Linked DNA regions of Drosophila melanogaster. The protein of the gene in region 1 interacts with the protein of each later gene in a pairwise test. Each region holds a gene or a part of one and is shown in the gene's direction. Other genes may lie near its edges. The genes, in order: Obp56a, Lcp65Ae, CG11409 and CG13494.

The links.
Region 2: the proteins of Obp56a (region 1) and Lcp65Ae interact in a two-hybrid assay, tested with the Drosophila melanogaster proteins (one large-scale study listed by BioGRID).
Region 3: the proteins of Obp56a (region 1) and CG11409 interact in a two-hybrid assay, tested with the Drosophila melanogaster proteins (one large-scale study listed by BioGRID).
Region 4: the proteins of Obp56a (region 1) and CG13494 interact in a two-hybrid assay, tested with the Drosophila melanogaster proteins (one large-scale study listed by BioGRID).

Annotation. Positions count from the first base shown.
Region 1 is NT_033778.4:19,695,435-19,700,225, forward strand, and holds Obp56a (Odorant-binding protein 56a), read left to right. Parts: upstream 1-2,288; 5' UTR 2,289-2,335; coding exon 2,336-2,395; intron 2,396-2,634; coding exon 2,635-2,994; 3' UTR 2,995-3,074; downstream 3,075-4,791. Other genes in the region: Obp56b (Odorant-binding protein 56b), read right to left, coding at 3,408-3,761, 3,824-3,883; Obp56c (Odorant-binding protein 56c), read right to left, coding at 4,739-4,791. UniProt on the Drosophila melanogaster protein: Present in the aqueous fluid surrounding olfactory sensory dendrites and are thought to aid in the capture and transport of hydrophobic odorants into and through this fluid.
Region 2 is NT_037436.4:6,136,293-6,141,159, reverse strand, and holds Lcp65Ae (Lcp65Ae), read left to right. Parts: upstream 1-3,041; 5' UTR 3,042-3,081; coding exon 3,082-3,188; intron 3,189-3,248; coding exon 3,249-3,441; 3' UTR 3,442-3,577; downstream 3,578-4,867. Other genes in the region: Cpr65Av (cuticular protein 65Av), read left to right, coding at 1,299-1,444, 1,555-1,744; Lcp65Af, read left to right, coding at 4,420-4,523, 4,582-4,780.
Region 3 is NC_004354.4:1,337,306-1,343,814, reverse strand, and holds the start of CG11409 (uncharacterized protein), read left to right. Parts: upstream 1-2,227; 5' UTR 2,228-2,490; intron 2,491-5,592; exon of another isoform or gene 5,593-5,915; intron 5,916-6,509. Other genes in the region: Naa30A (N(alpha)-acetyltransferase 30 A), read right to left, coding at 1-36, 280-525, 601-1,323.
Region 4 is NT_033778.4:21,952,936-21,957,792, reverse strand, and holds CG13494 (uncharacterized protein), read left to right. Parts: upstream 1-2,947; 5' UTR 2,948-3,020; coding exon 3,021-3,383; 3' UTR 3,384-3,551; downstream 3,552-4,857. Other genes in the region: CG43405 (uncharacterized protein), read left to right, coding at 3,841-4,110.

The DNA of each region.
Region 1 (4,791 bases):
AAGAAGGGAAAGGCACAAATTTTTGAACGCATACAAATGCAATTTAAATTTACTTATTTAGAACCCCTGGGAATTTCAAATTATTTGCCTTTTCACGCAAATTTAGCGACCATTTTTCTCACAGAAATAGAACTCAGACAGGTGGGTCGTCGTCGGGCCGGAGTTTTCATAGTTGGGGATATTAAGCCAACCCCCTGACATGTGTACACGGGCTGATTCTTGGGCGTAACTTTTTCCAACTCTCATTCTTTTTTTTTTACTTTCCATGGGGGCGATTAGAAAATGCTTCACCCCACCGAAGAAAGTAACCCAAAAGTCTCTGACAAATGCTCTTTGGCCAGCATGTTGTTGTTGCTGCTGTGTTCTGTGGTGATTAATGACGTCGAAAGCTGAGCAGGATCTGCTCTGCGGGGATGCCGTGGCAGCTTAATTTAAAATGAAAATTGTACTTAATTTCTAGCTGAAATTTGGCGGCATTGGACGGGGGGCTTGTAGACTGATTATGCTCTTCATGGTTTTGCCTTGTGCTCTATAGGGATAGCCATCCATAGCTCAGCTCTGGTTCGTTAGAAATAAGCTTGAACAAATATTACATTTTTGCCTTGTTAATGATTCGAAAGTTGAAAAAGAATGTACAAATTTTGAGAAATTAATCCTGTTTGTCTAGATATTTAAATGGTCACATAAGGGAGCACCTTTAACCTTTTGTAGAAAAGCATCACTTTTATTTGCATTTTACGTATTTAACTCAAATACCTAATACGTTCGAATGTAATTTCTTTTAATTAAACCTTTATAAAATTCCTGACTTAATACAAAGCTTACGTCCAAAACAAAGCCAACAAAAAACTAATTGCCACCTGTTAACATTCCTAAAATGCTTTTACTCTCCTTCAAAATCATTATTTTTATAAAGTTTTCAGATTAAATTGCCAGGTTTTTTTCTTACATCCAACAAACAATCTTTGCATGTGTAACGCCAGAGTTTATCACTCAAGTCGGCTGTCCCCACCACAAGCAAATTGAATTAAGATTACCACACAAGGATTTCAAAGCATTTGCGGAGAAGTCAAACAAGCTTTAGTTTATTATTATTATTGCGTCAGAGCGAAAAGTTTTCAGCCACTGGTTGGTCAGGGGGCGGATGTTGGGATGGTGGAGGGGGCTGTGGTGTCTGCGTGTGCGTTGGAAAATTTTCAATCGCAATCTTATGGTTTATTTCTTTAGCGCCAAAGCTACTTTATTTTGACAGCAGACAAACAAATGTCAGAATTGAAATTAAAAGGAAGGCAGCGACAGCAGAAGAAGTCAGTGGAAAACTTGTGAAAAACACGCCCGACTCAAAGATGTAGACGAAGGTTTTTGCGAGGGAGAAGGGATGTCTTGGCCACAGTACGCAGTCCCAATCAGAAACTCCGGATCCCGGCCACGACTTTGGATCCGACTCCGACTCCGGCTCGATTCCATCAGCCTCAGTCTGAGTCTCAGCATCAGCATTACCACCCACACGCACTGACTTTCCTGCATTCCCGCATTTTCTTTTTGTACATTTCACACAGCGTGAAATTTTCTAAATGTCATTTTGCTGTCATCTCGTGGATAATAAGATTACAACTACGCTGAAATAATAGGATTCAAATGAAAAAACTTTGCCGTCGTCGTCTGTCTCCTTGCGCTTCTCAACTTTCAATACGCGCTTGGCCACACCTCTCCGCCCAGATACATAGATATATATCTGAATCAGAATCCGACTGGGGCGTTGTCGGTTGGTTATTGTGCCTTTAGCTTGGGATCTGCCACCTGGTATGGGGCAGCAGTGGAAAGTTTTTGATAGAGTGTAGCGATAATGAGTGAGCAGCCACAATTTCAACTCCAACTCCAGACGGAGTAACTTGAGCGACCTACGATCTGGACACCACTTGAGCCGTCCCTGTCTGTACCATGTCTGCGTTCTATCTGTATAATTGATTCGATTCCCCAGGTTGGACAGGTAGAAGGCGGTTTAATGAACCATGCTTTCATAGCGACCATAACTTCAGATTGTCTACCTGGCCGCGGGCCACAAATAGACGAAAGTACTGGCCAAGATTGCAAAAAAAAAGAACCCAGCTAGACCAAAGGAAATGGGAAAGATAGCAAACAGAAATCTAAAACCAAAACCAAAACAAAAATCAAAAAGCAAAGCCATCAGCTGGGCTTAGTTGGATCACTGCCCGGGGCCATAAAGAGAAACCGGCTTTTATTGGCAACCAAGCCGGGTATAAAAGCCGCGATCCCATCCCATGTCGGCATCAGAACTTCCCCAACGTTCTAACAAGTCAAAGTATTTCTCAACATGAACTCCTACTTCGTGATCGCTTTGAGTGCTCTTTTTGTGACTCTGGCTGTTGGATCGGTGAGTTTGAGAAAACTAAACAATAGAATTATATGGGTTTTAAAGTCTTGAAATATTTTATTGGACTCTAACCCTATAAGATGTAATATTTATAAGCATATATCTACACTGAAGACCCTGACTTGGCTGTAAATATAAAGTCTGAATCTTCGAGCCTTTGGTGTGTGTTTGGAATATATGAAGTAAACGACTTGGCTAAATGTTTTTGTTATTAAAACCTTAAATTATCATTTTCTTAGTCCCTTAATCTGAGCGACGAGCAGAAGGATCTGGCCAAGCAGCATCGTGAGCAGTGCGCCGAGGAAGTGAAACTTACCGAGGAGGAAAAGGCCAAGGTCAATGCCAAGGACTTCAATAACCCCACCGAGAACATCAAGTGCTTTGCCAACTGCTTCTTCGAGAAGGTCGGAACCCTGAAGGACGGTGAGCTGCAGGAGTCAGTGGTGCTGGAGAAGCTCGGCGCTCTCATTGGCGAGGAGAAGACCAAGGCGGCTCTGGAGAAGTGCAGGACCATCAAGGGCGAGAACAAGTGTGATACCGCCTCCAAGTTGTACGATTGCTTCGAGAGCTTCAAGCCCGCCCCCGAGGCTAAGGCCTAAAGAAGTTAGGGATTTAATGCTTGGCAAATTGTGATTCGGGAAAAAATGTAACAAAATTTAAATAAATTCTTTGTCCAATGAAACTATGCTTTGTTTTCCATATTAGGTGTTAATATGTCTTCTTGGTTTGTTTGAGTTTGGGTTAATAGAAATGCAACAATACGTTAAATCCTTGTTATTATTAAATCACCCAGTTTACTTTGATTCAATGCAATCATAGAACAAGTGCATCATTCTGAATCAGAAGGGTGAGTGGCAAATTTGCCACAGCTTAATTGATGCTCTCAAGCCCTGTTTCGCGTAAGCTGATTATAATCCATATTCATGTGTAAGTCAGGTGATTCGGCGTTTTCAATTTGCATAATTAAATGTATGACTGCATTGAACACTTAAACTGCTTTATTGTTTTAATTTTAGGCACTAATACCCTTAACAACACACTTTTCATAGTTGTAGACAAAGTCACAGGTGGCGGCTGACTTTGTGGTTCCGCAGCTGGTAAGCAAACTCTTTAGCTTATCCACCGGCAGACTGCTGAAACGGATCTGGGCCAACTTAACGATCTTATCAGTATTGGGCTTTCCATCGTCACCCAGGAGACCCAGTTTCTTGTAGACGCAGCTGTGATAGCACTTCACCGACTCAGAGGGATTCGCCACCTCCTTGTCGGTGGTCAGCAAATTAGCATCACTGGCAGCAATATTCAGCTCCTTGATGCAGGCCTGTTGAATTTGCTTGTAGGCTGCCAATTCCGCAGCTGACTGGCCCTGTTTTAAAAATGCGAATAAAATGATGAATTATCCCTAAAGCAACGTTTCATCCAACTTACCGCTACTAGTTCGCTTAGAGCGAAAATTAGGAATACAACCAACAAGTAGATAAGTTTCATCTTTCCAAAGCTACATTCACTGTCGAACTGAATTTCGTTCACAATAATATGGCTTAAATACGCGTAACATGCTTAAGTTCCAGACTTAATTTTGCCAATCAAGTTATTATTTTATTAAAATTCAATTAATAAAATTTATCAATTTTAAACTGGGTTATTTTTAATTCAGATCCAATTTTCCCATTTTAACCAGTAGGCGTTAAATCATCGCTGCCTAGATGATCATTCGGGTCAGTGAGCTTTGTTTGGACTTTGGATTTATTTACTTATTGTGCGTGAAATAGATTTTCTTCTTTTAAGATTGATTCTTATGTTTTAAGTGAAATGGCTTTTGTGTTTCTTAGTTTCTACAAACAATTTTTATTCGACATACAGCTGCATATAATAACATAATATGGGTCTTCTTATTAGTGTATTAATGATTGGGAAATGGTTACTTACTTATTTTAAGTATGATAAAATTGCTTACATTCGTTTTCTTCTTTTTACATTCAAATCAACACATTAGTTTACTTAACAATCTGCCCAAAACTATGCTATGGAACCGTTAAAAACATTTAGAAAAAAGTTAAGCCCAAAATTGAGCCCTATAATATGGTATTCAGCTTTTCAAACACATCAGAAAATATTAAAGCTTTTAATTAATAAAAAAAAAACTCTAGCAACTTAAAATTGTTTAAACTAATTACGCTGAAATGCAAAACTCTTGTTTTTATTTTATTTTATAGCTTTAAAACTCTCAAACGCTGAATAAGTTACAATTTAAGTACTTATTCATACATACATTTAAATAATAAGTGGATTTTCTATATAGCAAACACCGATAAGAAATAAGACCTACAAGTACACAGCTATTTACTCCGACTTAGCGGTGGTCATTGCTTCTCCGGAATGCTGGATGCCGTCGA
Region 2 (4,867 bases), on another chromosome or scaffold:
TGTGTACCAGTCACAGATTTCTGAATGATTTATAATGCCCGAAAATGACCAGCAGTGACATTACGCATACGCCCCGATGTATTGTGGTATTGTAGGGCATACATAGCCCAGCCTTAGTCGGCTGAGCTTGGTATTGGCTTTTGTTGTCTGGTTAGCTGGTATTTTATTGACTAAGGTCATCAACCAACACTCGGGCTGCTGACTATGGAGATGGAAACGACGATGATGAGCCGCGTAATCTTGAATCTCTCGTGCCGCATCTTCACTTAAACAGCAAATGCAGCTGACAAGCAATGGCGGTGGAGGTTTTCGTTTCTTTTCGATTCGATTCGTTTCAAGATTTTTGGAGGTTAAATCGCCCTGTCTTAATCGGAAATTGTGTCAGCAGTTAACAGACGTCAGGGCGGAAATGCTTCAATATTCCCCAAAAAAAATTTGCAGCTTTGCAGTCGGATAATTCAAGAATTACATTTATGAGGAAATATCAGCTGAAAAAGCGGAGATTAAGTGTTTATATGATGGCAATTAAATCTCAAGATCATGGGAATTCCTAGATTCCATGAATTGAATTCTTCTTCCCGTTCTTTGCTTAGTTTCCTAAACATATTTTAAGTGGTTGAGTTTTATTCACTTCCTCACTGCTCACTTCTCTTGGGGATTTAATTTCCAACCCATTTTGCTTTGTTTCATCTTCGATAATCTTTTTCATCACAATTTGTTGATAAGTGCAAACATAGCCATTGACCTATTGCCATAGATCCAAATGTATATATGCCTGCTTGTCTACTTGTAGGCAAACACGCGCATTGACCAAATATTTGTTTTTTGTTGGGGGGCCCAAACATTTCATTATCACTTGCTCCATCATCTTCAGCTCCGATTTAACTTTCAGCTCCCGTGGCGTGGCAATTGAGATGAGATTCGAGCGCACATCAAACGCTTAATGGTCTTTAAATTATTTTTTTGGCTTGTTCAATTAAAAGCTTAAGCTACTCACGCTGCCATACAGTTGCCTTCAATTATATGCGTATGGGTAGATAATTGTGTTAGCATTTGAGGTGTTTGTTATGGGCCACCTAAACTTTACGGATCACATAAGTGTGTGTAAATGAGTGTGTGTGTTGGACTCGCAGCACTTGGAGTTTTGGCCCGGCCAGTTATAAATAGCTCAACACTCATTACAGTTAGCCACATTACTCGTTAGTGCCTAATTGTGATAACTACCGGAGCGTGCACTAAAAACCAAACTTAGCCAGGACCTTTTGAAAAGTCTCTACCAGAATCCAATCCAACTAAACATGCAGTCCTCCAGCATCTGTGTCCTGGCCATTTGCGCCTTCGCTCTGCTCTCCACCATTAGGGCTGCTCCTCTGGACGACTCCCAACATGCCACCATACTAAGATACGACAACGACAACATTGGCACTGATGGCTACAACTTCGGGTGAGTAGCAAGGACAATGCACGGGATATTTCCAAGGATTGAAACTTTTGTGTACTCTCGCCTTTCGAAAAGAAGAACCCATTCAAAAGAGTTAACTATCTTGATTTCAGCTACGAGACCAGTGATGGAGTTACCCGCCAGGAGCAGGCTGAGGTGAAGAACGCCGGTACCGACCAGGAGGCGCTCAGTGTGCGCGGTTCCGTCAGCTGGGTTGCTCCCGATGGCCAGACCTACACCCTGCACTACATTGCGGATGAGAACGGTTTCCAGCCCCAGGGCGATCATCTGCCCCACAACTAAGTATTTCCTCTTTGTGTAGTCAGTATCGAAAGCAGTATTTCTTTATATTGTAAAAATATCAGGGTTCTAAAGTATTTTAATGTTTGCTCCAATGATCATATTTCATTATAATAACATAGTCGATATCAATACATAAATAGCTGAATCGTATTGTTTGATTATTAAATTATCACAATCAAATGCCAGTCTTCAGCTAGTCTGTTTGGATTTTTTGCGATCATAAAGTGAAATGAGTTAGATCGTCCGTTCAACCCGGATCAAAAGACGTTCCCTATGCTAAATTTAATATTTATGGTAGGGCTATATCAATGAAAAGAAAAGTATGACGCAAGAGATGGAAGAACAGGGTGCCTGTTCTCTTCACATTTTCCATACGCAACGTTGAACGTCGAAATGCGGTGTGTGTCTCGTCTTGGCTCGTCTCGTCTGGCGACTTTGCCTGGACGGCCTTCGGTTGGCAGAAACTTGCAAATTTTTGGCACAGCCAAACATGTTTGGGTTTTTGTTGTCTTTGTAATTAATACATAATTAAAGTGGCGCATATTGAAAAATGTGCGAGGGATCTGGCCACAAATGAAAACGAAGTTTTGAAGGTTAATTTCAGGCGTTGATTTAAATTTCATGCGATGCTAATGAAATTTGGAAGATACCTTCCAAAAACAACATACAGCGCACAGAGAGCCAAACGGCCAAATTAATATGCATGAAATAAAAAGCTACAATGATCAAACTAGTTTTGGAATGAAACGATTGGACGCATTGATCGATCTTTAAGCTAACAGAGCGCTGACGTAGTTTCCATGCCCAATTTTAAGTTGAACACACTTGATTTACATACTTATTGTCGTTGATGTACAGAACTATTGGCTGGTATGCTCAATGAAGTTCTAAATATACGTATGCGAATCGATCGAACTGAACTCATTGCTATTTTCCGATTGTTATATTAGGAAGGGATGTGAAAATGAAGTTGAACAATAAGAAGTGCTACACATTTGAATTTGTCTAAGAATTGTTTAATTTTATGGCCATTGTTAGTGGTGAACTAGCCAATTAGTAGAACTATCTTGCCTGACGACTATTTATTTCATGTCATTCCAGCTTGATACGATGCGAAATGTATGTGCAGGGACATTAATTCGAAAAACCCGATGAAGCATCCCATTATAGTTTTGCGATTTCCAAAATGCGAGTCCATTTAATGAGATATGCAAGATTTTAGGTTTGACAGTGTCGTGGATTAGATTGCAAGTCAAATATAAAAGTGTTCATCCTGCACTCCGTCGATATCATTCGCATCGAACTCTTCGAGATCTCCAAACCAGCCCAAATTCAACATGAAATTCCTGATCGTCTTTGTAGCAATCTTCGCTTTTGCTTTGGCTAACGAAGCGCAAATTATTAACTTGGAATCCGATGTTGGACCCGAAAACTTTCAGTGGTCGTAAGTAGACTGACAGGGTCCTCATAAAAATGCCTAACTGATTCTGGACCTTCGTATTAGCTTCGAGACCAGCGATGGCCAGGCGGCTAACGCTAAGGGACAGTTGAAGTACCCTAACACCGACCACGAGTCCCTTGCTGTCCAGGGATCCTTCCGCTTCGTTGCCGATGATGGCCAGACCTACGAAGTCAACTACATCGCCGATGAGAACGGATTCCAGCCCCAGGGTGCCCATCTTCCCGTTGCCTCCTAAGTGGTTCGAAGTGGAATACCATGATTTTAATATTGCTTTAACTGCCCTAAATCCGTTTTGGCCAAGTCAAAAGTCAAAATTGTAGAGCTACTAAATAATAAAAAATAATGAATGTATATAAAAGAATCTGTTTTTCAATTTCCTATTTGGGTCACAAGAAGTCAACTTCTAAAAAATGAAATATTTATAGCACAACGTGTACTCATCCCAAAAGATCAGATCGATCGATCTGATGATTGGACCGATATCTTAAGTATTTTTTTATATATATTGTTAGTCGATTTTAATTGTACTTTCTGATATGCAGTAAGAGCCACGTATTTAGAATGCCAGAAAATGGGATTTCATATTCCCTATTTCCACCTATATTAATGGAAAATGCCTACCCTAATCTAGTTTTAGTTTAGTTTACTTATAAATTTTATTTAAATCTTGTATACGAAATAAGCTTGCTTAAAAACTGTATTAATATTTTCTTATACCTAACAAATAAATCCGAGTTGTTGGAGCAATTATTGCTACATAAAGTTACATGCCTGGCCTACTTTTTCCCATTTCTTTTGAATTTTTTACTAATTAGAATTTTATTTTTAAAAGGACTTCATTGAAAGAAGTCTACATTTCCCATTCAAAAATAATATAATAAATAAATAAATGTATCGTTAATTTAAATTCATCCACATCTCTCTAGATCTCTAGATCTATGAATATTAAATTTCCACAGCTAGTCTCAAACAAATTTGATAAAATGTAATCAAAATTGAAGCGCTGAAATGGCAACACTCAAAAACGTTCACCATTGAGTTGAAAGCAAAACTGAACTCAATATCATGCATTTTATGCTCAGTATGCGAATTAGATTAGCGTCACCGCACCTTGGACTTGTTCACAATTTATGTATAAATGAGTTCATCCCAAAGTCAATCGATATCATTCGCATCGAACTCTTCGAGATCAGCACATAAGCCAAAAATCAACATGAAGTTCCTGATTGTCTTCGTCGCCCTCTTCGCCCTGGCTGTCGCCGATGTTCAGATTCTGAAGCAGGAGTCCGATGTCGGACCTGTAAGCTTTAACTATGGGTATGTTTTGTGAACTATGTGACAAGGATTTGTTTTCTTACCCTTTGCTCTTGATTAGCTACGAGACCAGCGATGGATCCTCTGCTCAGGCCGCCGGACAGCTGAAGAACGTTGGAACTGATGAGGAGGCTCTCAACGTCAAGGGTACCTATTCCTTTGTGGCCGATGATGGCCAGACTTACTCCATCGCCTACACCGCCGACGAGAACGGATACCAGCCCCAGGGTGCCCATCTGCCCGTTGCCCCCGTGGTTTGAGCTATCCATCGTTAATATTGTTTTACTGAAAAATCCTTCAATTATGAATAAAACCTCAACAGATTGATTAAAGATACATGAATATGT
Region 3 (6,509 bases), on another chromosome or scaffold:
AAGCACCACCTCGTCGGCATTGTCGGCCAGCATTGCCTGCAAATGGGAAAATTGCAGTGTGATATAAGTTTTCACAGAAAGAGAGGTAGTTGGTATGTATCCCTCGCCAATGTGCCCGAAAGTATACCTCGAGGCTCGAGGAGCCATTGGTGAGCTTTGATGGCAATTTCATCCATAGTTAACAACACATAATTGTTCCGTAACACACATATCGAGCATCGATTACATGCAACCCGATTTATAACTTATTGCAAGGGAAAGATGCCCCAGACATCCTACCTCTATGGCCTTGGTGACCAGCGTGGTGCCGATTTTGAGCTTGCGATACTCCTTGCGCACGGCCAGCATGGCGATGTAGCCGCGCCGCACGTTCATGTGCATATCCAGCTTGCACACGATGGCGCCCACGTACTGATTGTCGTGCGAGGCGAGGAAGCAGAGTTTTGGCCAATTGTAGATGAAGTAGCGATACGTGTATATCGAGTACGGCTCGGACAGCTCCGCCTGGATCAGTCGCATGATGTCCTGCGTGTTCGATATGCGGGGAATTAGATAAGTGTTGCGCACAGTTCGCACTTGGTCATACTTGGAGGTACTCACATGCATTTGGTGTTCAGCCTCGTATTCCTTATATACGATCTCGTCGGCTGAAATGGCAGGTTCCGGCAGTTGGAGCTGTGCTGTAATGGTGGGCGTGGCCCCCTCTGCATAGTCGGAGGGCGGTTGCTTCCTCTCCTGCTCCCGACTGTGGCCACTCCCCGTCGCCACATGCACTCCCTGTTCCACAGCTACATCCTCCGACACTTTTGGTTTTGGGTCCGTCGTTGTGGTTGGGTGTATGTTGGCAGTGGTTTTGCTTGTGGCTGTTATGGGCTTCTCCTCCGGTTTGAGGGAGTTCGAATCCGATCCTCCGCCGTCGCCTCCTTCTCTTCGCTGCTTGCGGTTGTTGTTGCTGCTGTCCACGCTGTTGTTGTTGTGAGTGCTGTTGTTGTTGTTGCTGCTGCCGCTTGTGCAGCGAATGTGATTGTTGTTGCTGTGCCCATGTGCATGGCCATTGACGACCTCCCCAAGCGGCCGAGCCTCCTGCTCCTTGTGACCATGGCCATTGCAAAGGTGCATCTTTTTAAGCAGGCCTCTGAGTTCCTGCGCTGGCTCCTGGTCTTCCGTCGCCTCCTCCTCTTGGTGCTGAACGTGTCCATTGCTGGGTGTCTGTGCCTCCACCTGGCCACTGGAATTTGGATTGTGATTGGGGTTCTTCTCCGCTGAGTTCTTTTTGTTCTTGTACTTCTTCTTTCCGGCCGCCGCTGCCTGGGCATCCGCCATTCTGAAAAGCGACGGAATTGGCTCTAAGAGGGAACCTGCTGCTCCTCCGGGGCTTATCTGGGAGGACTGGTAATCCTCGCCTGCAACCGTGTGCCTCGGACTTATTTTTGGTTATATTTTCACAGTTGATGGTTTTTCATTCACACGCACACGCACACGCTCACGCACATACTCACACACTCGCGCACGCACACATGGGGCAGTCGGCCGTCCTCTTTGTTGTGCTTCCGATATTCGGAGTTCCGGATCGATCAATCCGATCTCGATTTGTGGCGCTAGTGCGTGTGCATGGCAAACTTATGTAAAATCCTATATCCGCAAAACTCGTAATTTTCCTTGCTATGAATAAATCCCACCCACACATATGCGCGAACAGCTGTAACAGCAATCGATTGGCACTCGATACTATCGATACAATCATCGCCGGCCAACTGTGACTATCGGCTATCGAATTATCAATTGATATTATTACTATTAAATTAACAGCTAAGATTAATGAAAATATTTAAAAATTATATTAAATAAAATCTAAAACTACGTTGATTTTATCAAATTTATATTTGGCATGCACCTTACATCGCAAATGTTCATATATTTGATATTTGATTAGATTTGATCTTTGTAATATTATTACAATCTTTAAACGTAATATTCTCATACCTATATTCTTTATAGCTGCCATTTAATTTCTGACTTTGGAATGTTAACTTATTTGTATTTGCAATACTTTTGCCAAATTAGATCGTCAGCTTGTGCCTTTTTGCGAGGGTGTGCTGTACATAACGGAAAAGAGGATCAATAATAAGAAGAAGAAGCTGCTCATTTCAAAGTTCTCTTCTTGTTCTTCCTTTTCTTCTTAAAGAAGAAGCAACTATTTTACGGCGTAAAGATTTTTGATTTACGGGACTTTTGTTTGAAAAAAGTGCTGCAAATCAGTTTGAAGTGTTAGTTATAATTAAGTGCATGTCGTGGCAATGAGTAGCATCGAAATGTTACCCGAAAACGGATGGAAGTCCAATAAATTGCTCGAAACGTATGTTCACTTACACTCGCCATTTAAAAGTATACGTGTGTGTGTTTGTGTGTACGTGCGTGTTTTCTCCTGCGCTTATTTTTTTGTCTCTTTTGTTTTGTGATTTCCAAACTATTAAAAACGTTCTTCAATTGGTAAGTTACTAGTTAAATTCAGTTGTACTAATTAATAACTCTGCAGTGCGACCTTCGCCTACTTTTGGTTTCCTTTTCGCGCCATTAGCATTCGCCATAAAATAAAATCCATAAATTACAGCTAAATCAAATGCAATAAAACCAAATTACAATCTCGAATCATATAAGTCACATAAGTCACTAATCCGCAGTTTCCTGAGATCTGCACTTCCTCCACTTTCCTTGCCGTTTGTCTTGGTTGAGAACGCAGGATTATTCGGAACTTGCAAAGGTTTCGAGTCAAATGAAAATATAACCCCTGATTTTACAATGTATGTACATATGTATGTGGTAACTGCCAGGAGAAATCCGCCTGCCGTTTGCTGTCAATTTTGTGGATTTTTAACGACGGCAATCAGTCGACTGTTTTAGCGTTATAGCCCGTCGCTTTGATGGGGACTCCAGCTCCTCCCAACGTCATAATCGAAAGACTTGGGTAACGAACGAACTCGGCATGGCCGATGTCGTTGCCTCTCAGTTGGGCTGGCTGCCCCCAGAACTGGGACTACATCAGCACTAGCTGGTGACGAAATCGGCTGGGGAGGCCAGGCGGTCTCGATCTTCGATCTGCTTTCGGACCAGCATAGCCTACTTTGCATACGGAATTGGACTTGAATTTGATTGACTGAAATTGAATAATCCGAGCCACGCGATTGGATAATTTCTTGAAATTTTGCATACGAACTTGCAAGCGCAAGTTGGCGTCCGTTTTTCTGGACGTCTGTTTCACTTTTCGCTGTTGCTGCAGTGACGCGGGCAAATCCAAAATTAGCAAAGCAAACAACATACGGAGAAAGTGAATGGCCGAATAAAGTAAAAGCAGTGGCGGAGAAAGGGTAACGAAGAAAGGGGAGAGAGCGGGAGCGGACAGGTGCCGCAGCCAACGCCTTATCACCTTGCTGGCGGAGATCTCTAAAAGATAGAGATACAATTTAGCACTTAGCACCCACGTGACGAAATGATATATGCAGTTTGGCCACAATGGCATGGACTTCTTGTTTTAAACTATATTTTTTGTGTCGGTTGATCATGGTAACTGGCGGCTCCCCAGCCAACGGACATAGCATTGTCAGTTGGTTCGTCAGTGAAGTTGGTTCTATAAGTCAAGAGCTACGTATGCTAAGGCCACCTAAGGGTATTAGGGTATTTGGCCTGCGACCTGGGTATTTGACCAATTTTATTTTGCACATCCACGGCGCATTAAAGCAATTCACTTTTTGCGCGATGCTCCATAGCTCCATAGTTCCATAGCTCCAAGCCGAGCCCCACTCCATTCTCCCGAGCATTTGGCCGTGTCATGTCAAGAGTTATGGGCTTCGTAATTTTTCTGAGTTTTCGTTTATATATTTTTGGTTGTTTTAGTTCGGTTTCCTTTGGGGCTTTGTTGTTTGCCGTGTCGCAATGCTGCGAGTGTGCGCAAATGGCAAAGTCAAAGCGCATGCGCTCCAAATGTGAAGCACCTGGCCAAACCCTACCCCTAGTTCCACCTATGTACCTTACCCATCCCAAAACAACTTAAGTGAAGCATAAGGCATGCGGCTCGAGCTGAGCTAAGCAAACTAAAACCGCAGACGAATGTGTCGCGTCAGCGTTAAATTGTGTCAAATGTTGTCACACACAAAAAAGCAGCCTCAGCCTCCCTTTTTTGCGGCGAGGCGGTAAACACCGTTGTGTGCAAATGGCAAATGTTACAAATAACCAAAAATCGTTTTAATTATTTCGAGCAAAACGTGCCAAGCGCAAAATGAGCCCAACGTTTGTGGCCTGTGTGTGGCCCTATTGAGAAACTAGGTTTAACTGCGTCTTTAAATTTGTAGCAGTAATCGTAAGATAAGACAGAACTCTCATGTTTTGCAAACCCAATGGATTTTCCCGGCCGGTCCACTTGAAGTCCGGAGGGATCAGAGCGATCGAGTGGCAGCGATGGGAAGCACTGGAGCCCGAGTTCATTGAGGCCCATCGACGGTCTTCGATCGTTGAACGGCTATATACAGACCATGGCTGGCCGCGCTCCTTGTGCGTGAGTTTTATTATGCAAGCGGAGCGGAGCAGAGCAGAGACCACATGGTAATAAAAACCAAACCAATATTAGTCCGCTACATTGCGGGGCGCAGCAGCAGAAAGCCAGAGAAAACCGAACCAATCGAATTTGTCAATGGGGGAAAGAAGCTGGCCGAAGTGAAATGCCCGTGCGCTAGCAGAAACCCGTCTGCATCCACGGCAGAGTGCTGTTTACCTGTTCACCTTCCCTGGCCAGAGCCATGCTCCGTCTTATCATCGTTCGCAGTGTACTTGGTCAAGGCAAGCCAGCCACTTTTAACCGGCGATCAACCGATTTGATGGGAGCTGGGCGATCAGCGGTTACCACGACCGGCCTCGCGTCGCGATCGTAATCCCTCCCAAAAATGTCTTCTAAGCCAAATCGATTTTTAATTGAGACTTCGGCGCCAGAGCGCTGCACCCTGCGTTGCCCAGGGCAGTACTTAAAGAACCAGCCAACTAGCAATCTGCTATCGCTATGTCATGCCAATCATTCGAGATGAGGCCTCGTTATTATTAGGTGCTAAAATCGTTCAATCTGCAGCAAAATAGTTTAACTCAATGCAAGCTTGAGCCGTATGGTTACTATTTCAAATGTTATTGCAGTACATATAACAGTCTAGTATAGTACGAGTGTCGGCACATGACGTGCATTAACATGCCTTTTTAAATTGCTTTGTGTTAAGTGTGTTTTTACAATGAACCAATTTATGTAATGGCTCCAAGCGAGCCTAATAGATGGTATCGTATATGTGAGGCCAGCAAGTTGGAGCACCGAATCTAGGCTACGAAATGTAAGTTTATGCCATGCATTTCAAATGGGATTAAATGGATGCATCTAATCAAAGCACTCAGCATCCAGTGTTTTCTAGCCCCGACTTCTAAAGAGCCAGATCGCCGCAGCAAAAGCGGTAGTAGCAGCATAAGCCGCAGCAGCAGCACCAGCAGCTGCGGCGGCAGCAGCAGCAGCAGCAGCAGCAGCAGCAGCAGCGAAGTTGGCCAAGACGACTTTCGGCCGGGTTCAGTACGCTGCGAACGCTCATTGAAAATGGTCTGCAGGCCGCGCATGCGATTGAGACCGAAAACGAAACAAAACCGAGTCCGCTATCTATCTATATCGATACCGACACAGAAGCCAAGCGACAGTCGCGTGTTCGCGTTTTGCTTCGATTTAATTTCGGTTTTTCCTTCCTCGATTTTTTTTAACAGTGTGGTGTGCTGTGCTCCGTGTGCATTGAAAGTTTGACGCCTCTGAAGTTGTGAAAAAGCGTCTCGATTCGATTTAAATTTGGATTTTTAGGAGTGCGCGGCGAACGTGAGCGAGCGAGCGGCAGAAAATTTAAAATGTAATTGAAAATAGTTGGCTACTGCTGGTCCGCTGGTGACAGACAGGTTATTGGTCTTGCACAGGTGGTGCAAGCAACAAACAAAAGACTTAGGCAACGAACTCACGATCCACGATTCGAATAGGCTGCACCGCAGCAACGACCTTGGCACAAGGGCACTGCAAAGGGGATTTCAATTGCATGTGCAACGAATGGGATCAAATAGGATCTAATGGCTGTCATTAAGACATGAACTGTCTGGTTACGCATAATGTACCCTATAGCTTCTACCAGGCAGTTCATAGTATTCAGTTTAGAAGTAGATGTAGGATTTAAGGAAGCTTAGCACAAATGTCTAGAGCTAGACAAAAAGCAATTACTCGTAATATGCTCTAATTAAATTGCATAGCCCATACCCAAATAGAAATAAGACACTGCGCAACGAGGGGCAGTCCAAGAAGGGGAATAATGAAATAACTGGTGGTAAAATAATGCCAACGAAAAAAAAAAAGACAACATAATTGCAGCGACACTTTTCATAACTATTATAGCAGCTGAAAAGCAATTCAAAAATTAAGCGAAGGCATGTAAAGTGCTTTAATATTTATTATTACT
Region 4 (4,857 bases), 2.3 Mb from region 1:
CGATTGATGGGCGTTGTTTGGAATCCATTTAATAGCTCCTAAAAGGCGCTAATTATTTAACCACATAAATCAGGGCGAATTTATTGGCCAGAGTTGGCCCGCGAAAAAACCAATCATTTCGAGTTAGCAAAGGAAAAAGGAAAATTAAGTCAATTGTAGCCCTTCGCATGCCAGCAATACATTGTAGTCAGCAGACGAAGGACTTTAGTAGGAACTAGCCAGGTTTACCAATTTGAACTCTAATGTTAATTCTACAACATTAATATTCAGTGAATCCTGGGTCAGTAGCGTCAGCTTATCGATTTCAGTACTCTAGAAAGTCCAAGATCCTGTCTGGCCGGCAAACAAATAAAAATGGTCATGCAATATTAATATTTATGCACAAATATTGGGACTAGGGAAAGGGAGTACAAGTTTGCTTTATCTAAGTGAAATGCTAAAAGATTGATGACTTTGGCGCTGGGCTTGCCCATAGTGTGTGCCTGTATGTGTGAGTGAGTTTCTGCCACACTTATAAGAATTTATGGCAATCGAGGGCGAGCGAAACGCTGCGTATACGCAATATTTATATTTATGTATTATGAATCAATGCGAAAGGGCCGGCCAAGGCAATAAGAACAGGAGAAAAAAATGAAACGAGTATAAAAGATGCGCACTAAAACAAAAGGATAACAATAACTTTTCGCAGGATGCGTGACGTGGTAAGCAGGGCAAAAATAAGAGAAATCGAGGGAAATCCAAGCTTCTGGCCGGGGAAAAGTAAATGGTTTTGCAGACCTGCAGAGAAAGGTCCATTGGGGCGGATTATGAGTAAGATGCTCTCGATTCGCCCCCCCCCCCCAAAAAAAAAAATAAAGAACAGCGCACAGAGCCAAGTCATAAAAATTGCATGAAAATGGGGCCGGCAAATTCGGCCGCCTCATCCACCGACTCATATGTGCGGGGATTATCTGCCGGATGGGATACGCCGGGAATCCAAGTGCTTGTCTTGTTTATTTGTTTGGCTTTTACGCCAAAAATTATACTATTACAATCAAGTTTACGATTGCGATTCGCTGCCCCCGTTGAGTGCCAATGAATGCGATGATGGCAGGATACGAACATGATCATTGCCATTGCGTTTGTTCCTGATGATGATGATGATTGGTTGGGAATACACATAAATTCAGCTGCGTACGATTTTCATTGGGGACGGATATCTGACCATTTGGGACTTTTCGACTAGGAAGTCATATTTGCCGGAAGATGATTTTCTTTACATTCGCATCTATTCAAGTGGAAAGATAGCCTTAACTTGCTATAAATCCATTTCTTAGATTTAAATAGTTTCTGAAAATATATTTAGTGTAGTGAAGACGCCTGTTTAGTATTCAGTTTTACCCCGAGATGGAATCGCAGACAGATGAGCCTAGTCCTTCCGCCTTTCAACGCGTTGCCCTGCAACTCATCCTTCGTCGAATTCTAATGTGCAAGTTGACTTTGTGCAATCGCGCATTGCATGCCACGCAGTTACCCCTCAGCCCGCAGCCAAAAGCTCTTAACCCCCTGAGGATCCTCAGCCGTTCGAGGGATGCGGCAACTACACGGAGGCACCAACCGCAGCAACAACAAGGACAACGCCTGCGACAGGATATGGCAAGTGGGCAACTTTGGAGCGGGCGAGTTTAAATTGCCAGAGCTAAAAGGGTTGCCAGCAACAACGCCGTGAAAAACGTAACTTTTTTCTGCTTTCCCCTACGATTTCATTCCTTCTTTTTTCAGAAAACATCGACAAGCGGCGCTTTTGACTGCCATTACCCACATTGCCACCCCTCGCAGCTTGTTTTTTGTGGCACAAAACTTTGCACTTTGACATGCAGCCACGTGTGCCATGATGCTATATGTTAAAGGTGTGTATGTGTGTGTGTGTGTGAGTGAGTTTGCAGGTGTGGGTGAATGCATGTCTGAGTGTGGGTGTCAGTGTGAGGCAGTGAATTGAATGAGCTTTCAATGCTGCCACCGCCAATTGGCCGACAAACGTGTCTAATAGTTCCCAATTGCAATCACTGATTTGTGATTCAGAACGAGAAGTGGATTTTTACTTTCCCGGTGAGTATATTATCAGGAGTTGTTTGATCAACCTTTAGTTACTTAACACAATGTTCAGTGTTTAATTATGGTTGAAGTCCAACGCAGTTTATATTTATTATGCACGAAACAGATAGATATCTGAAAAAATATATATTCATTTCGCTGTTTATCGAAGAGCTTCCTTTTGTTTTTTGCATTAAGTTGTTGACTCATTTTCTTAATTTTCTCTGTGGAGTAATCAGCGCACAAAATACAGTCATTATAATCAACGACCTCTTGGTACAGTAAACAGCTCCCTATAACGAACCCAGGCGCACACGTGCGCACACTTGAAAAAAATCTTTCTACTCGCATGAATATTTTAAAGCTCGCATCACATTCAAATTATGATAATGATGGCGTGAGGCGAGGGTGTGTTTTTTGCATATGAGTTAAAGTGGGGGTGTTTCGCAGAGTGGGTGTTTGGAGCGCTAACGAGCGCAGGTACACACAGGAGCTCAGGGACAGCTCCCCAGATCCCCGTTCGAGGACCACCCCTCTCTGCCAACCCAATCCCAGTTCCACCCGCAAAATGCTTTCGTTAATGCATTTCATTAATTATTATACAATTCGAATGGGCATTGTATGACGGGTGGTGTGTTCGTGGGTTTAATGAGTACTTTTGTGGAAAGGATTTTAAGTGCGATTGATCGTTAGAAGTCGCTTCGTGTGGAAGCGTGACGAATGCACCTATGCCCATAAGCTTCTTTGCTTTTGTCTTTCGTAGATGGGGAACTTGAATATATTTAAAACCAAATATGATGCTAAATTGAAAGTGGGCACATATGAAAATTGTGCTGAAGGAGTCTTTGAATACACACTCAACTTTGCTGTCTGAATTTTTGTAATTTATTCTAATTTACAATAAGCTAAACGTTAAACATTTCAATACCGTCAACAAGTGATTAATCATGGATGACACATTATCAACGGTAGAAGGCGGGATGACGGAAACATCCTCATGGAGCACCACGATCGCCACCACCACCACTACAGAGGCCGCCAAGGCGGGTAGCATGGCTGTCGGTATTATTGTCCTGATCGTTGTTATGGTGCTCCTCTGCTGCCTGCTCATCATCTGCCTGCCGCTCCTCTGCCTGTGCGGCTGTTGCGGACTCGCCTGCTCCGCGTGCCTCGCTTGCGACGAAGGATGTTGTGGTGAAGGCGGCGGCGGTGGATGTTGCGGCGATGACGGCGGTGGATGTTGCGGCGATGGCGGCGGGTGTGGCGATTGTGGCGACGGCTGTGGGGACTGCACCTTGGACGATGATTAATTCGGCGATAATTCAAGTTTCTATTAATATGTACGTAGTGCTAGGATATGCGATTCGAAAGCCTATAAATTTAATGTGCTCAGGTACAGATTCGTTAGGAGCATCCGTATGCTCATTGGCAAAATTGTTGTCTATTCATAAAAAATAAAAAAATCTAGCTTAATTTTGAAATGATATCTATTAACTTAATATATGGCAACCAAAAATCAAATTTAAAGTACAAAAAAATATCGACTTCAGTAAGCTGCGACTGTACTCTTAAAATTAAAAAAAAATCTATACCCAAAATAAAATTTCTGAAGGGTCAGGGTCATCGAAATTCTTAAGCTGCTATGCAAGGAACGGTGAGAAGCATTCGTTAATTTAATGTGATTTTCCTTATACATATTTCCTTCCATTTAGAGGGTTCAATCTATTATCGAAAGCAACAAAATTTGCAATTTATTTCCCATAAGCTATGGCCGAGTTGGATGCTACAACCCTATCTGAATACGATATTGAATATATAGACTTTAACATGACAACTGTGGCGTACCGTACAACCACTGGACACCCGGATACTAACCTAGGTGCTTGGGGACTTTTGTTCATATTCGTCGTAATTTTTCTTATCATTGCTGCCTGCTGTGCTTGTATGGGTGTTCTCGTCCTTTTTGGTTGTATGAAGTCCTTTCTCTGTTTTCGCTGTAGACGCCGAGGCGACGAGTTTATAGGAAGGGAACCCTGACTGTCGTTGAAATTCTGTCATTAAAACTGAAACTTGTGCTAATAAAATTATATGTTTTGTATGAATCGAAGTCCAAAGGAATTATTTTGCCGACAAATTAATGCGGTCCTGCCAAATTACGGCAGAGTAATTGGAAAAGGATGTACTGAAGTTCAATATAACATTAACCAAACATAATTCTAAGGAGAAACGTCAGGACTTACCAGATTCCTGGACAAGTGGCATCTACCAGTAGAGAATCCTTGGCCAAAGTGCCAGTGTGACAAATGTAAACCGATTAGCCACAGCTGGGGCCGATTATCAGATGGCCCAAAGAAAATAGCCCAGGCCCTACAGAAAATGCCTCAGGTCAGGAATTTCCAGAGCTTTCTCTGCGGACTGTGGACTATGGACTGAGTGCATAAATTCCTGGCATCTCCTGCAGCTGCAGGAAAGACACAAAACACTCGCCCAAGTCCAAGTCGTAAATGCACTCAGCACTTTGTCAGCTCTCAGACAGGAAATGCAGTTGCCATTTTTCTTTCATCCCAGCAAATCCCGTTCACCTCCTGCCTTTGGCCCCCGCCCGGAAAGTCGTTCTGCAACTGTCTACATTTTTCACTTGCCATCCATAAAAAGTATCAGTTTTAGTTTCAGTTTTAGTCCTCGCTTGGCTAAAAGTCTCGTATGTCTTTTGCCTGTCTGTTGGCTCTGTTGTTTTGCTGTCTCAATTTCGCCAACGCTTCCATATTCAGTTTCATAATTTTT